Linked DNA regions of Neurospora crassa OR74A. The protein of the gene in region 2 interacts with the protein of the main gene of each other region in a biochemical or structural test. Links are inferred from orthologs where the notes say so. Each region holds a gene or a part of one and is shown on either strand. Other genes may lie near its edges. The genes, in order: pp4 and NCU06389.

The links.
Region 1: the proteins of NCU06389 (region 2) and pp4 form a complex in vitro, tested with the Saccharomyces cerevisiae proteins (2 studies listed by BioGRID). The link is inferred for Neurospora crassa OR74A from reciprocal best matches to the Saccharomyces cerevisiae genes PSY2 and PPH3.

What each region holds. Positions count from the first base shown.
Region 1 is NC_026504.1:2,482,990-2,490,906, reverse strand, and holds pp4 (calcineurin-like phosphoesterase), read right to left. Parts: upstream 5,433-7,917; 5' UTR 5,020-5,432; coding exon 5,003-5,019; intron 4,915-5,002; coding exon 4,791-4,914; intron 4,729-4,790; coding exon 4,638-4,728; intron 4,561-4,637; coding exon 3,521-4,560; 3' UTR 3,046-3,520; downstream 1-3,045. Other genes in the region: NCU08299 (mitochondrial 54S ribosomal protein YmL3), read right to left, coding at 1-1,013; NCU08300 (uncharacterized protein), read left to right, coding at 1,801-1,803, 1,888-1,907, 2,016-2,198, 2,313-2,382; NCU08302 (hypothetical protein), read left to right, coding at 6,361-6,732. UniProt on the Saccharomyces cerevisiae protein: Forms the histone H2A phosphatase complex in association with the regulatory subunits PSY2 and PSY4, which dephosphorylates H2AS128ph (gamma-H2A) that has been displaced from sites of DNA lesions in the double-stranded DNA break repair process.
Region 2 is NC_026504.1:2,674,363-2,682,424, forward strand, and holds the start of NCU06389 (DUF625 domain-containing protein), read right to left. Parts: upstream 4,130-8,062; 5' UTR 3,850-4,129; exon of another isoform or gene 3,785-3,849; 5' UTR 3,104-3,784; coding exon 2,869-3,103; intron 2,808-2,868; coding exon 2,729-2,807; intron 2,674-2,728; coding exon 1,310-2,673; intron 1,235-1,309; coding exon 1-1,234.

The DNA.
Region 1 (7,917 bases), about 190 kb from region 2:
CGGGTGGGGTACTTGAATTCGAAGAGCTTGGCAATGTCGAGGGTGCGCGACATGATGTGCGCCTTGACAAAGGCCTTGGCGGCCTCGCGGCCGCAGTGGGCGTAGATGGCACCGACGACGGCGCGCACAAAGTAGGCGTGGGCCCGCTCAGCAGCGGCCCGGGTGTCGGGGTTGCCGTAGCGGTCGTAGCTCACGTCCTGGTCCTGCTCATTAGCGACCATCTCGGCCTCCTCCTCGTCGGGAGTCTTGTCCTGATCCTGCTCTTCCATCGCCTTCTCCAGATCGGCGGCAACCTTGGGGTCGCTGCGCACGACATCACCAAAGTCGTCGTCGAGAACGACACGCGAGGCCATACCGCGACGCCACTTGAACTTCTCGAGGTAGGCGAGCTCTGTACGCTTGTAGCCGAAATTTGTGATGGCGACGCCGGGCTTAAGGGCATCGAACTGCAGAAGACCGGGATCCACCTCGCCGCCGGGCACCGCGGCGGTATCAACACCCCATGACCGCGCAATCTGGAGCAAGGGCTTCGGTCCGGCATAAGCCTTCATGGCACTGAAGAGAATTCCCTGGGGTAGACGGGGGTATTTGCAGAGGAGCCATTCGGCAATATGGTAGTTGATGAGGGTCTGGCCAACGAAGGCGAGGTTGGCGTTGTTGAACTGCGGGTTCTCGTCGGCCGAGGCGTCGACCAGTGTCCTTGCCAATGTCTGTAAGGGGATCTTGGGAGAAAGATTCAAACGGGCGTGGAGGGCGGCCAGTTTGGCCGAGGTCAAGGCCCGTTCGGGGAGGGGCGACGGTAGGGACTCGGCCGCGGGGGGGAGGGGCTCAAGCGGGGGGAACCGATCATTGTTGAGATCGTGGGATGCATCGTGCTGAGCGAGGGCAGCTGTCGATTGCGATCGCACCGAGATTGCAGATCGGGATCGGATGGCGGCAGTGGCGGGCGACACTCCGGAGCGAGCGGCGACGAGCAGCCGGCTCGTCAAGCTGGGCGTTGCTATCCTCTTCATGGGCGATATATTTGATGGGTGATGGTCGGCTCGACAACCGGGTGTTGACGTGCTGGGGCCCAGGTTCCGTAAGTGTGCGCCGTCTGGAGGCCCTGCCAAGAAAAGGATGGAGTGAGGGAAATCGGACGGGCAGGTGGTGAGCCGGTGGTCGCGGGGTGGGAAGCTACTCGGGATCCCGGTCGGAGTCGCGCGTTGATCGGATGGGTTCTCGTTCAGACTCGGCCGGCCGTCGAACACGGGTAGAAAAAAAAAGTTCTCCAATCTGAACGCTCACCACCCGTACACTAGACAAGCCCACCACCCAGAGCCGTGAATCAGTGCTCAAGCGCAGGGGTTACTCCCCCAAGACCGAGACATAAAAGCCGGCTGACATGATTCGTTGTTGGCCCAGTGAGGGTCCCCACAAGATCCATCTTCGACCCCAATCCACTATCTGCGCTGTCTGTTTAGCATACGGTGCACTGTGGTGGACAAGCGGGAGCTGCCCGCCCGCCGCCCGCCGCCCGTCTGTCGCATGCGCCCTCGGCCCCAGTTAGGACGAGTGACATGGTGACTTTCAGGCCTGGATGGTTGATGCGATTTAGCCCCTCGTCAGCCTGTAGGCGGATTCATCATTCGTCCTTCTATCCAATTGTTCCCGCTGAAGCATCACCACTATTGTGCCGTCGTTCGCAGTGCATCGCAAAGTTGACAGTACAAACCGATCTTGCTTAACTGCGAGGTGGAAAGAATCATTCCTCGTTGAACGTCCAACCTACCTCACCACATATCCCAAAACTTCATCACAATGGTGCGTATCCACCCGATTGCTTAGAATAGCCATCATCACTACTATGTTTTGTGTCTGCTAACTCTCTATTTTTCCTGTCTATAGGGCGGCGGTCCCCAAGTTCCGTGAGTTTCATCGCCCTCGACATGCGCAAACCCTCCGCGCATTCTGTCCAACCCAGCCTGCGTTGTGTCATGGATCCGTCCTAATCGTTGCCTCGCCCTTCACTCCAGCTACCCCAAACACGTCTGGTCGCCTTCGGGTGGTTGGTACGCCCAGCCGGCCAACTGGAAGAAGAACACGGCTGTTCTCGGTGGCGTCGTCTTCCTCATCACTGCCGCAGTCTGGAAGCTTAGCGCCGAGAAAGAGTACCGTCACAAGATGCCCGAGCCTGGTCGCTTTTATCCCAGCAGATAGTATGTCCTGGCAGACAGACCCCCATCCAAATTTTTATACATGCGTAACGTTTTCCGCGAGCGCAGACCGCGGGGATGTTCTTAAGCTGACGCAACCGATATTACCTCCACTAGCTGGAGCAGACAGATTATCGAGTATGAGCGGGCGCAAAAGGAGAACGGGACGACACAGGAGAAAAAGTAAATTTGGGCATAGGCCCTGCCACCCCGGCCGTTTGGTCATACAGTACATGGCTTCCAAAGGCTTGATGGAATAACAGGACATCTTGGCTTGGTTGAGGCCGGCCGGTTGGTGGTAGTAATGCAATATTCGGAATACATTCAACGTCGGTTACCCTCCGCTGGCCGTCTTGCGTTGGTGCTCCAGAGCCTGGCTACGTCGTGAATAAAGCTAACTTTGATGTGGATCAGTTCTGTAATGGATTATAGAGGAAACTACCTCTATTCTTACCGTTTCGTACTATTGGCGAATACTAGTGAACTCACAGAGAAGAGCCCACCTTCCATGACTTTGAATCGTGAACATGCCTTAACAATGTTCTTCGCATGTTTTGGTGTAAACGCAAGCAACAAGGTAAGCTGCTGTGGAAACCTCGACTGTCTATTTAATCGAGGTGGGCCTCGGCGGACCTCAGTTCCTGGCTGTGCGGAGCTTTTCGGTCGGTTCATGACTCGGCATCAAGACAGCGGACACGGCGACCTGGGACCCGCACCGGATGGAGCTGGGCCGGCGCGCGTCCGAAGCCGATCATCCCGGATCGGAACTGCCGTCGATAAGTCCATTCTACCTTCCATGTAGCCTGATTTGCTCCCGATCTCTGCCTTACCGCTTCCCGGACACTCAATGGCAACATATCTGAGAATTGGCCTATCTATGTTCGCAGTGAACTTCATATATACTGACTGGTAGGAGCTGAGTGGTTCCGTCATCTTCACGTTGATTCAAAAGTGGTATGCTTCTATAGGACCCTGCATAATGGAATGAGGGAGACGATGGCTCAGCCTATCGCTCGAACTTCGACTCACACCCATACAGGAGAGTTACGATCCTGGGTGTGCCAAATCTATCTGGCAGTTTCAAATACTATGTCCGGTCGATTTATTTAACGAATTTCATGCCAATGTTTTCCCGACCAGACATTGCAGGCCCATTTCTTGGGTTTTCCTGGACAAAGATCTTTCAACCCAAAATCCATGACGCTGGGGTATAGTGTCCCAAAATAATACGCACACTGAGCTACATGTCGCAAGTTATGTAGTCAAACCTGTCCTCGTAGACCGAACATGGGACAACATATTCCAAAAAATGCCCGGTATCGGGTTTACAGGAAGTAGTCGGCCACTGGCTTCTTGGCTGGCATTCCCCTTGAATCCTGAGGAGCCGCCTGGAAGACCCGGTAACGCCTTGCTGGACCCTTCATCGGTTGTAGCTCACCCTCTCCAAGCCCTCCAGAAGATCCTGCACCGCCATTACTGCGATTGACATCGCCATTACTGCGGGCAAGCACACCCAAGCCTGAATCGTCTTCCGATAGCTCAAGAAGTGCAGCAACGTTTCCGCAGCGATAGCAGTAATTTGGTGCTGACCAAACGGTAACGATGCTGGCATCGAACATTTCCTTAAAACCTTCCATGACCAGCTGATGGGCACGGGCGATCAGGCTGAGGTCATTGCGATGATTGAACACTTTGACGATGTCGGCACCAAAGAGGAAGCCAGCACCCCGAGGCGACAACCCCCAACCGTCAATCTCGTCCGGATCGGACCACAAGAGGTCGCACATAGCACCCTCATGTGGAACCTCCTGTTTTCGGTCCAGCAGCCTGATTTTGTCAACCTTGTCTATCAGCGGACTAAGGCCGCCGTGCACACATAGAACGGCGCCGGCTGGGTTGCCCACTGATCCTCTGCTCAATCCCGACGCTCCTGAGCCAGGCGGGCCTGTATTACTCGGTGGTGGTATCCCGTTGGTCCTGCTCTGTACATCGCTGTCTGCCCCGTTGTTAGGCCGAGGAAACCTGCTCATTACCTCGCCCTGTGCGTTGCACACCTCGATTTCCACCTCGCCTCCTTCAGGTGTTGTTGGTATACTGGACTCGCCGGCGCTTGGTGAGATGGTATTGGAGGCCCCAAGAACAATAGCGCCCAAGGCGAGATAGTCGAACACATCGCAGCAGTAGCGCCAAACATTCGCGCTGCCATATTTCCTGTAACATTCATCGTAGAAACCGTACACAGTTGTAATCTGTCGTGATTCGTGGTTGCCTCTGATGAGGGTCATGCGGTCGGGGTATCGAACTTTAAGGCAGAGAAGAAGTAAGAATGTTTCGAGCGAGTAGAAGCCACGGTCAACGAAATCACCTATCAACATCCGACAATACAATAGTCAGCTTAACATGATTTTGACGACATGATTGACAGACCAGGGACAGCCTTACCCATAAACAGATAATTGGTATCGGGAGGATCGCCGCCGACGCGGAACAGTTCCATCAAATCGTGAAACTGGCCATGAATATCTCCACATATCTTGTTGCCGTTGGGTTAGATTCGACATGTGTGTATTTCGATCTGGATAGTTCGAGACGTACCGTTACCGGCGCATTGACTGTAACTACGTTTCCTTCTTCGATCAAGATTTCCCGGGCCTTGTGACAGAGTTCGCGGACGTCTGATTCTGGTATTGGCCGGCATGCTCGCAGCTGAGCGATCGCCCTATCCACCAAAGAGGTCAGACACCACGAGCAATAGTCGCCGGCGGGTGGTTGCGAATGCCCGATCGCAAGACCACCGGGGCACTAACCTGTCCAGATCACTCATGGCTGTAGAGGCTTATGAATAACAGATAATGCTGCTTTGCTGCGAGTGGATGCCGCGCAGTTAGGAGGACTGAGCCGGGCAGAGGCTTGTATGTCAGAATAGAAGTTGAAATGCGGTGTCTCGTAGGGTCGCGTCAGCTTCGCGTCATGCTATGCCGAAATGTTTGGTGGTCCGTCTTGCAGATGCAACAAGCACAGATAGTAACCCTTTTGGAATCGGTCTTGATGGTTGTCGTGGGGATGCGGCGAATGATCTGTTGACAGGGCTGAGGTGTTCTAGGCTGGCGGCTCTGTTTTTTTTGCGACGGGAGACTGGGGATGGCGCGAAACCACAACCTCGACAACAATGGCACGAATGGTATGGCGGCGGTCGCCAATCCAGCAAGAAGCAGGGAGCAAGGAGTTTTAGCGACAGGCCCAGGGACCTGGAACTGCCAAGTGAACCGTAGAAATCCCTGTCTGGTGGGGAGAGTGAACGTCGAACGGGTCAGTACACAGTACGTAGGTGCTAGATACCTACCTTCTGCATAGTAGTTTACATCATCTGAGGTAAATACAGTACCCTTTTCTACAAACGCATGCAAGGTAGAAGTAGCCCATCAAGTGCAAGCCTATGGCGGCCCGGATTCCCAGTTTGGTATGAGAGAGAGATACCAGCAAGTGCAAAAGCCCCGTTAAGTGCACGTGTTGCGAGCCGTCGCCCATAATGCACTTGTAAAGAGACAAGCACGCTAGCTGCCATTGGTTAGATTTCGGCACCAGACGAGCTCAGGTACTGTAGTGTGCGCTAGTACCTAGGTACGTACTGTGTAGCTGCCGTGGAGGAAGCTTGGGGCGGCGGGAGTGCAGGAGCGAAGATGCACTTTCCATTCCAGTGCGGGACAGCGCGGGAAGCTGCCCATTGAAGTTTTGAGAGCTGAAGCTGACGAGGGGTCCACTGACGAAATATTTTCGAGAACGGAACTAAAGCGCAATCGAAGCTCCATTTTCCCGGAGCTTGACGACAGGTCCCGTCCACGGTCCAGTTCGCTCAACGACGATCTTGACAAGTAACCTGCCCACCTGTGTGGCACATACCTCATCCTCACTGACTTCCTCATTGCGCGTTGAGGTTAACCGCTGCAATCTCGTGATATTCAAGGGTTCAGGTTGTTCCCAACGCGCATGATGGTCCTTTAAGTGTTGCAAAAGCCACGAGTGAGTCCCGTCGGCCCAAAGCCCAAAACGCGAACCTCAATGGCTGATGAAATTGGCGCAAGCTCCCCTAAACTTAGACCCCCCTTCCTCTGGACCTCTCTTGGTCAAGCACCCCGCCCGCCCTCCAATCCGAATACCACTCATCATGCCACCACCTCACCTCCACCCGAGGTCGCGTATGACTTCCTCCCTCTTCGCAGCAACTGTTGTGGCCAGCTTCCTTGTTGTCGGCGTCCCTCACATCCTGCCGTGTCCCGCCCCCAGGGTCGCTTTTGCCGATGGAGATATGTCTGCCGACGGACAGCCCAAGAGACGCAGACGCAGACGCGTGGAAAACACCGAAGGCAAAGACGAAATCCTGCAGTTTGAGACAGAGCCTGGGTCTGGCGACGTAGGCAGGGCACGAGCTCTGAAGAGAGAGTGCCCAGTGCCCAAGCCCGGGGGTATGCTCGGCAGCATGCTCGGCTTCCACAAAGACAACGATATCAACGACCCTTCGTCTCCGTCCAACAGGTGATGACCACACCGTACACAATGCTGGATCTCCGGGGGAATGGGATCGCAATGACCCCATAATAACGCTCTGTAACTAGACGACGTTCGTGATCAATCTTGTACCTACGAGCTGCTCGATCCACGGATATGGGCCATATGTCGAACGGAGTCATCATGGTGTTGGCCGTTCCTTGGTTTTTTTTTGTTTGGAAAATCAGATTTCCCGGGTCACATTGCTCGCAGTGAGTGGTCAAAAGGCGGCCGGCATGTAGCCCGATCACAAAACGAGCCTTCTGTTCAGCAACCAACGGTTCAGGTCACGCCTTATGAAGAATGTAAAGCCCGACTAACCAGCACCCTATCTGGCTCAAATAAATCATCTCCTCATACGAATTCCTACATGAACCCTTCTCAGCATGTTGGAGCTCATCGAAGAATGAGACCGGCAGGAATTTCTGTTCAACCATACAGTCCTGTGTGGGTGATACAATCGAAGACTACATAGCCCTTGCTTGGCCACATACCTGCTTCTTGAGATGTCGTCAAAGAAGTCTAATACACCACCGGTCTGTCCAGGTTTACCCAGGAGCTTGTTACCTACATCGTTCGCGTCTTGGTGGCTCCAGTCGTTTCCCTCATCCACCCCCAACAGGAGTTCAACTCGTAGCTTGGTACCGCCAAAAAGTCCAGACGGCAATACGCAGCCGGCTTTGCTTTCTTTTATCTGGGATGTTGCATCTTAGCAGCTCGGATACGCGAGAGTCCCCTTGCGGAACGCATCTACCCTTGTACATTATGCTTGTACATTCTGTTTAGGCTCAGAGCGCTAGTAGACCGAAATATGCGGTTATGAGGGCACAAGATCAACCAAAAAACATGCTCTCATCAATGGAATCCGTCGAACCCGAACCCTGCTAGAGCTTGGCGTTGCGATCAGGGGTTCGCAGCGGGGGCGGATGGGACTCTTTCATGCACCCCAGATCCAACCTCAACGTGGGGGTGGATCTTGGTCAATGGACATGCAGCTCCCTCGTCCATACCTTGACTTCATTTACTTCCTTCATTTCACTGTCAACTTCCAGGAATTTCAAATTAACCAAAACTGAGAATCCACGGAATGGCCGTCAGCTGTTCTATGGGCTTTACGAAACATGAATCACCATCAGCTTGAAGTGTCGCAGTGGTAACCCCGCCTCCCCCCTTCTAT
Region 2 (8,062 bases):
GGATCTTCTTCTTCTTCCCCTTCCACTTCTTGTACCACTGACTTTGAAGTCTCCTTCCCCTCCTCCTTCTCCTCTCTTTCTCCTATCCTCACATTTTCCTTTCCTGATGCAGTTGTAGCACCCGTTGTTATTGAAGTTTCTTGCGCTTTATCATTCGCGCTAGTCGTTGTTGTATTGGGATCTGCCTCCGGCTCCGAAGGTTTCCCACCACCACCACCACCAAGCATGCTTTTGACTTTGGAAGAGATATTGAAAGCAATTTTCTTTGGTGTGCTTAGACTCGTAGTGACGGCGGTGGCAGCAGCTAGAGGGGAAGCAGGGTTAGGAGATGTGCGATCTGCCATTGAAGTACCATTGTCCTCGGTGGTGGCACCCTCGGCCGCAGGTCCATCATCCTCAGAGATACCCATCTTCTTGCGAATGTCTGCACCGGCGCTCGCGGCACTGGCATTGCTCCCTCGGCGCTTGGACTGCAGTAACTTGTCGAACGCATCGTCATCCTCGTCTTCTTCACGGCGCCGCTTCTCAGAGATCCTCTCTGGCGGGGTGGCGACAACGGCGGCAGCGGCGGCTGTGGCCGGCCCACCTTTTGTTGGTGTTACTGGTGGTTCGCCGTTCGACTTTGCGCTGTTGTCTTCATCGTCCTTCTTTGCTGGGGCAGTTGCCTCATCACCCGCCACGCCGTCTTCATCATCCGAGCCGTATTCGACTAAGGGCTTCAGCAGAGGAAGAGTAGTAGCGGTGCCGTTGGTACGATGGGAGTCATTTTGAGGTCCTTCATCCTCTTCGTCCGATACGCCGTTCCAGTATTCCTCTTGAGCCTGGTCGACGGTGAGTTGTTCCTCCATCAGACCGGAGGTCGGCCTCGTCGGTCTCCTTTCGCTCTCGGCCGCAGTTGGTCCCTCATCTTCGTCTTCATCCATGAAATACTCGGGATTGGTTGTGTAGCCTTCCGTCTGGTCGTACCGACTGACCATTTCGCGGAAGGTATCCATGTGCGACAGCGCCATAATCTTTTCCCGGTAATTTTCCACGAGGTGCTTAATTAGGTCCTTAACATTCTCCTTATTAATGAGGACGAAAAGATCGAGGCAAGCTGAACAAAGAAGGTTGTCGCGGGTAATCGCTCTTAATAGCACATCGAGAATAGGGCCGAGAATTTGCTTCTCTGCAATGTGCTTCATGTAAAATTCGTCGTTCATCAATACCAGTTGCTTGATAAATCGAATGGCCACTAAAAGCAGTTAACATGCAGGTTAGCCTCCTCTGCTCGACAATTTAACCATTGTTCCCAAGTTGCTGTGCCTACCGAGCTGCAGATGCTTTTGCTTGCATGAAAGCAACTGAACGAAGCGCTGTGCCAGACTGTGGGTGATGAGGAAGTACTTGGCCCTGTGTTGGTGTTGTCGGATGAAGGAGCAGAGTATGTCGTTCAGGTAGCCGAAGATGTACTCCTGCATGGGCTGGAACTTCAACTCCGTCTGCCCTTCGAGATCGAGCAGTGGCTTAAAAAGCCTGGCGGCCGAGTTTTCATAGAAGTGCTGTATCAGAAGTTCTTGCTGCGGGTCGATGCTCTGAAGCTGTCTCAATCGCTGCTGGTTGGGAGGATACTCTCTTGCATCTGGCGGCATGATCGGCGCCACATCGAGCAAAATCCGAAGGGCATCCTGCATTTGCGACTTGACACCGAGATCAACCTCAACCAGAAGAAGGTCGATGATCACATCAGTGAGAGGCTTCTGACGTTCCTGCAGCTGTCGGTAAATCGTATGCCGAACCATCTGGGGATCGTGATCAATCATGGCCACGAGGATATCAGTAGCATGAACTCGTACAGTGACGTCGTGATCACACAAGCCGAAGTTAATGACACGAACAAGACCATGACCAAGGAAATTGGTATACAGATTTTGCCTTGCTGGTGGTTGAAGATTCTTGGCGATGGCACAGCAATCGTGGAGGAAAGTAACGGCCTGTTTTTTGCGTAGGTGTTGCGCAGAGGGGTCGGCGAATATCGAGAAGAGGTCGTTTAGGAACCCACCGTTAGTCTGGATATGGTTGATGATATCAACCTGGTTGAAGAAGATGAGCGAGTTGAGGACGGAGAAGGTCGGGTCATCTAGGATTCGGGCCAGAACCACATCCTTGAGATACAGCAAGCGGAAGGTCTGTTGAATCTTGCGCCGGATTGTATCATCCTCAATCTTGACCACCTCCTTGAAACGGGTCTGGTTGCTCAACCACTGCCGGTGGTTCGCCTTGTGCTTCGGGAAGTCGGGATCGTACTCGAGGGCACCCACCACACCGAGGACACATTCATCAGAAACAGCCTTTTCAATGATTGCAGTGTCGTTTAGGAGGAGCATCGTCTTGGTCATGTTGCAAAGACGAAATAGGTCGTCGAGGCTCTCGAGATCTTCCGCCATCTCGACTAGGTTGCCTAATGAGGGTATGATGTCGTGCTCCATGATGGACTTGACCAGCATCTCGCGGCCATTAGCGGTATTGGACATCTGGCGCATGATATTCTCGAGGTCGGGTAGGTTCGCCAGATCGGCCGGGGGGAGCGTGAAAGTCGAGTTTGACATATCCATAGTAAGATCCTCGGAGAGACTGTCGTCGGCGCCGCCCAGGACATTGTGGAAGGTTTGTTGGACGCCGTCAATAAATTTCCTGACATGATGATTAACGGGCGCATACATTGACGAATCGCGGAGATGGGACCAACCATATCATGGCGCAACCCTCGGCTTCCTGGAAGCTCAAGGCCATATCCACATTGTTCTCGGTCCATACAATCAGGGTATCTGTAAAGACAGTTAGCAGTGCGATGGTGGGGGTCGACGGTAATGGTTCAGGGCAACGCGCCTTGTTGTTTTTGAAAGCCATCGTCTTTAACGATCTTGGTCTCGAGTAGAAGCCGGTCGGGGTGGTCTTCGGATTCGACGATAACGCGGGGCTCCTTTGGCTGGTTCTCCTGGACGGGGACGAACTGGGCGGTGCAGAAGCCGGTACCGCGATCGAACCAGTCATTGTTACGGAGTTCGTAGACCTTGACGCGCTTCTTGTCCGTTGTGTGATGAGGCACCGGGTGTGCCATCATCAAGGAATCGGCGTCCCCCTCCGGGACGGTCTGATCGTGGTCGAGCAGGTCGTCGGACAGATCGATATGCTGGTGCTCAAGAGGTAATTCGGCCCCGGCGTGACTGATAACCGCAAGTGCCGCCACTTTTTATCGAAGCGATGCGCGCCGGATTCTGCGCGCGATGGGGGAGGGCTGAGGGTCGCACGGGAGCAATCGCGCTAGATAAGGCCGAGGTCTGATGAAACGGGTTGACAGTGTGGAGAAGTCGAAGTTCTGGACTTTCGGGGGGAAATTGGGATACGGGCGTCTGGCGCAAGCGGCGTCGGGGGGGTGTGACGTCGCAAGAAAATTGGGATAATATAGACCAATATTAATTTAGAAAATGAATCGTCCCGCCTTTGGGTTCTGCTGCTCTCACGCCAGGCTGTTACGGGTACGTAGAGGTAGGACGTTCTGAACTTCTGATAACCCGACGGGCAGCAAGTCGTCGAGCCTTGTGCGGTCGGCTGAAGAAAAGGTCGAGATAGCCTGTATCTGTATCCGCCGGGGGCCAAGGGTAATACTGTAGAGAGATGTACCAGGAGTAGCAAAGTCGAAGGTAGCGAGCAATAGCGCGATGGCTAGGAGCTGAGGGAGTAAAAAAAGAAACCACAAAAAAGCACTTGAGAAAAAAAAAAAAAAAAAAACTCGAGATGGCGACTTGGCGATGGAATCTTGTCAGCCGATCTGGGAAGCGCGAAAGGCGATAACGAGGAAAAGCGCACCTGTCAAGTCGAGATTGAATTGAATGAGACCAGGTAGAGACTACTACTAAGCGCGCCGCAGGGTCAGATTGAAGAAAGTGGCTTAGGCGTTGCCGCAAGATATGATGAAATCGCGGGTCAATCGCGCTGGGAAATCCCGTTCCTGCTGCAGGCCCAAGGTTGCGACGACCGGCTTCCAGGTTCAGGATGTCTCGTGAAGCCTCTGATGGGGGAAGGGCAGGGCACGGAGCTACGGGGGCAATGGGGCGACGGGGTCTTGTTGACGCTTGACGAAAACCAGTGGGTGACCCGCGGGGAGAGACGGGGACCGAACGGGAGGGAGCCGCGAACAGATTCGCTGAATGGATGGTTGAAAGTGGAAACTGCCCGTCAAGCGTGCAAAGTGGGTGGAAGCACCGCCTGTCGAAGTGCTGTGAGGTGACTTCGTGCCCGACGTTCAGTGTTACACATGTCGGTACGTAGGTACCTCTAGGTACTGTGATGCCATTTGTTGCTTGGCTCGAGCTTTAGCTACCCTGCCGCGCGGATCTTGGCGTGCATCTCTGTTAACAATCCAGATCAAGCTTAGCGCGCCGGAACCCCTAGGCTGCCAGGTGCCAGCAGACAAGGGCAAATGGAAGGTCAGGCCGCCCGTGGAAGTCCAAGTCAGATGCCAGAATGAAAAGATACTCTATCTCTATACTGACTGTTTTCACGATGGAGGGTTTTCCGTCTGGCTTGCTGATAATGAACTAAACCAATGCTGACGTCAATGCCGCGAAAGAGATGAAAGCGCGTTCTACCAATGTTAAGAGAAAGTGGACGCGCCGCGGAACGTCTTATTAAGCATAGGTACTTCGCTGCTTTGACGCACCCAGTGCACACCATGACACGCGCACCTCGGCTGCTCTTCCGAAAGCTTCGTTCGCAAAAGTTGGGATTTTAGGGTTTAAACTTCTACCCTCCCAGCTCGTTCCCCCAGTGCCCGAATCCAGGCCATGTCACATTTATATCGATGAGATCCACCCCCTCCGCCCTATCTCTGGGGCGGTCAAAAGCACGTCTCCCGGCTGCCACAAATATTTTGCATACTGTACACTAGGTCAAAGGATCTCGAGCTCCACTTCCCCCGTTCCCCATTCCGGCTATGACCTTCACGTCTCCATTCCGAGACATTGAAGCACTGGAGTCACAGACTGACAATTGGAATGGTCGGATGGAAGAAGTAGGATCCTGGAAGTACGCCAGCGACAATCCTCCAGCCAAATACCTTACCTCAAAGCGAAGTCGCTGGTGGAGGACAATTTTAAAGTGGAGACAGCATGCCTTATGATCCTATCTCCATTTGAATGCGTTCCCAGGGCACGTCCACCAATTACCTGTAATTACCTTTTCTCGTACCTTTGTCTCGCTGGACGCCTTCTTGTCGGCAACATGGCCTCCCAGGGGCACTCCGCTGTCAGAGGCGTTCCCCTCAGGTATCCCCGCTCCCACGCCACCCCGCTCCCGCTCTCTCCCGCGGTGCCGTTCTATTCTTTCGGGGTCTTCCAGGTTATCGGGGTCTCACACCCGACTCGAGGTAATTTATCGGGACCCACATTGTCCGGTCAGGCCCGGATCCACTTCTGAATAACCTTAACCTCCCGCCCCCGCTTGTCTCAACCCGAACTCCCGACTCTGGGTCTCAAGCCCCACTGAATTACCATCGCCAGAAAAAGAAGGTCTCAACATGTGTACACTAAAACCGGTGGGACTAACATCGTGGAACTTGCCTCTCCTTTGTCTCGGCTTCATATTGCCCGTCGTCGACATCCTGTGGCATCATCTCTCTCACGGTGCGCTAGCGTTGCGGTTATCGCACACCTAAACACCCACTACATACCACCTCCAATTCTCAAGCACCGGCGAGTACGATGGTGTCCATGACAACAATTACATCTTCATCTTCCAGTCCAGCCACCAGACTCTAGGCGCTTGAGCACTGGCACCTTATCATTGGAAACCCCCCCGGGCTTCACGATATCCACCTCGGGGATGAGGTAGTGACCCTGGCTTCAAGGTTCAAGATGCTCCCCTTTCTCATTTACCATTGCCTACCTATTTGCCGCTGATTTTGGCCAGCACAACTTAAGGCTATGCTGACACTGCTTTTTTTTTTTTTCTTTTTTTGTCTTGTTTGTTTATTCTGCACGATATCTGGAGGATCCTCGGGTGGCGGGACATGGCCTTATGTCACCCACTCAAAAGGCAACGGTACACTTCGTGTCTCTAAATTCAAGACGTTGTGGTCTGGAGGCATGATACAACGAGGGCTAAATGCTACAAGCGAAGAATTTTCTTGCTTTCCGTTGCGCGTTCATTCATGTAGCCCGGGATTGCCGCAGCTAACGCCTCCAACACTTGTCACCTTGGAAAAGGAACGTAGCGAATCATCTGCAACAAGAGCTACCATCTGTCCTTCAAACCCCCACGCCAGCTTTCTGCTCCTCTGAAACAGACTCGAATGGTGACAGAAATCACATCTTCGACAATCACAAGCCAATGCAGCATCCGTCGGATGATGGCAGCGGCTGGATTGTTGATCTCCTGAGACAGGCCTGGCCATGGCTTTATACGGCTTGAAAGTTTTGTTCTTCTTTTCTTCTTCTTCTTCTTCTTCTTCTCCTCCCACGTCGTGTTCTACTGCTAACGAGGTGATACACACCAGGTTCGGGACGCCGTACTTTAGCCATGGTCAAATCTTGAGACAGAGCAGGAACACTCCGTATCGTGGCGAGCGCTACTATCGTGACGGGCCTTGGTCTTGGCCATGCCGTATCCGAATTCCAAGCCCCGACGCCTAATTTTCTCGATGTCATGGGCTGCACCGAAGCCGATTGGCTTTGCAATCATGAAGATAATACTCCTGCCACGATGGCCCTGGCCTGTGGAAAAAGCATTAGGAGGATCATCAATGCATCACCCGAGATCAACAGCATCGGCACAGCACCGGCAGGCTGCCTCTTCTGGGCTCAAGATTCGCGATTGACTGCTAGCTTCGGGTGACAGCAAGATATGTGCCACGATGTGATCGGGAAACAGGCTGCAGGAGGCTGGATTTGTGTGCGTATGCCGGTACTGCGGTTACGCCAGGAACCCGTCAGTCTTGTATTCCGGCCAATCGCATCCTGCCCGAATAGCCATGCTTATCTCGAATTTGCCTGTTCGAGGCTGCAATCAGCAAGGAACAATGTCGAATTGGGCATTGATGGTATCGCCGAGATATCCTCCTAGCTGACTGAAACTCAATACACATACACATGTGGTAAATTTGGACAAGTCAGCCCACAATCGATGTGCGGTGTGGCCATAGTCGGGCTTTGACGTGCCAAAGCATATCGGATGTATGATTTGAGATGGGAATTTTTTTCTTGTCGAGCAAGCGTCTCGCCGTCCCAGACATTTGGCGGATCTTCTTCGTCTGATGAAGATATTGGAGCATGCCCTTGTCTGGCCGCCAAGCTGACCTGTATCGGACGATAAGATTCTCAATAGCCGGTGGCCTTCGAAGACTCCCAGGAGTGGTATAAACGAGCAAGATGACATTCATCTAGGGTAAAGTAAGTAAGTCTACCATAGCAAGCCTTCCCCCTTTGATCTAGTACAATGCCTCAAGGTAGTTAAGGTTTCGGAGAGTATGGTTATTAAACCGCTCAAAACTCTTGCTTGCTTTACGCCTGAGATGACCTGTTTGGGAGGTGGTCAGTAACATTCGAGAGCCTGGTATTGTGGATTATATTTTAGTCCATCATGTCGTATTGAGTGAGGTTGGGCTCCTAGGGGCGGCGGGCGGATAACGACGTCAGCTATAAGCCGCTCCGATATGATATCTACCTACTAATATCAACCTCAAAACTCGTATGGTATGCCTCTCCGGGCCGATAAGATGTGCAATAAAGGTCAAGTCCGGTTGAAAGGCATTCCGGCATTCGATCACCCATCAATTCCGCCATTGCATTCGTGCGTCCGCTTGGGAACAGACTGCCTTGTATTCTTTATTCGGTCATGACGATCCGACGGCCCCATTACTGCAGTACTAGCAGAGGAGCTGAGCAGAAAAATTCAGCCCACGTATATGGTAAAGTGCTCTGCTCTGGGTATTTACACCATCACCGATCGGGTCCCACGCAAGCCACGGTCACGCATGTCCACTTCCCAAAGAGCGATGTACATGTGCTGAAAGCTGGAAGACAAA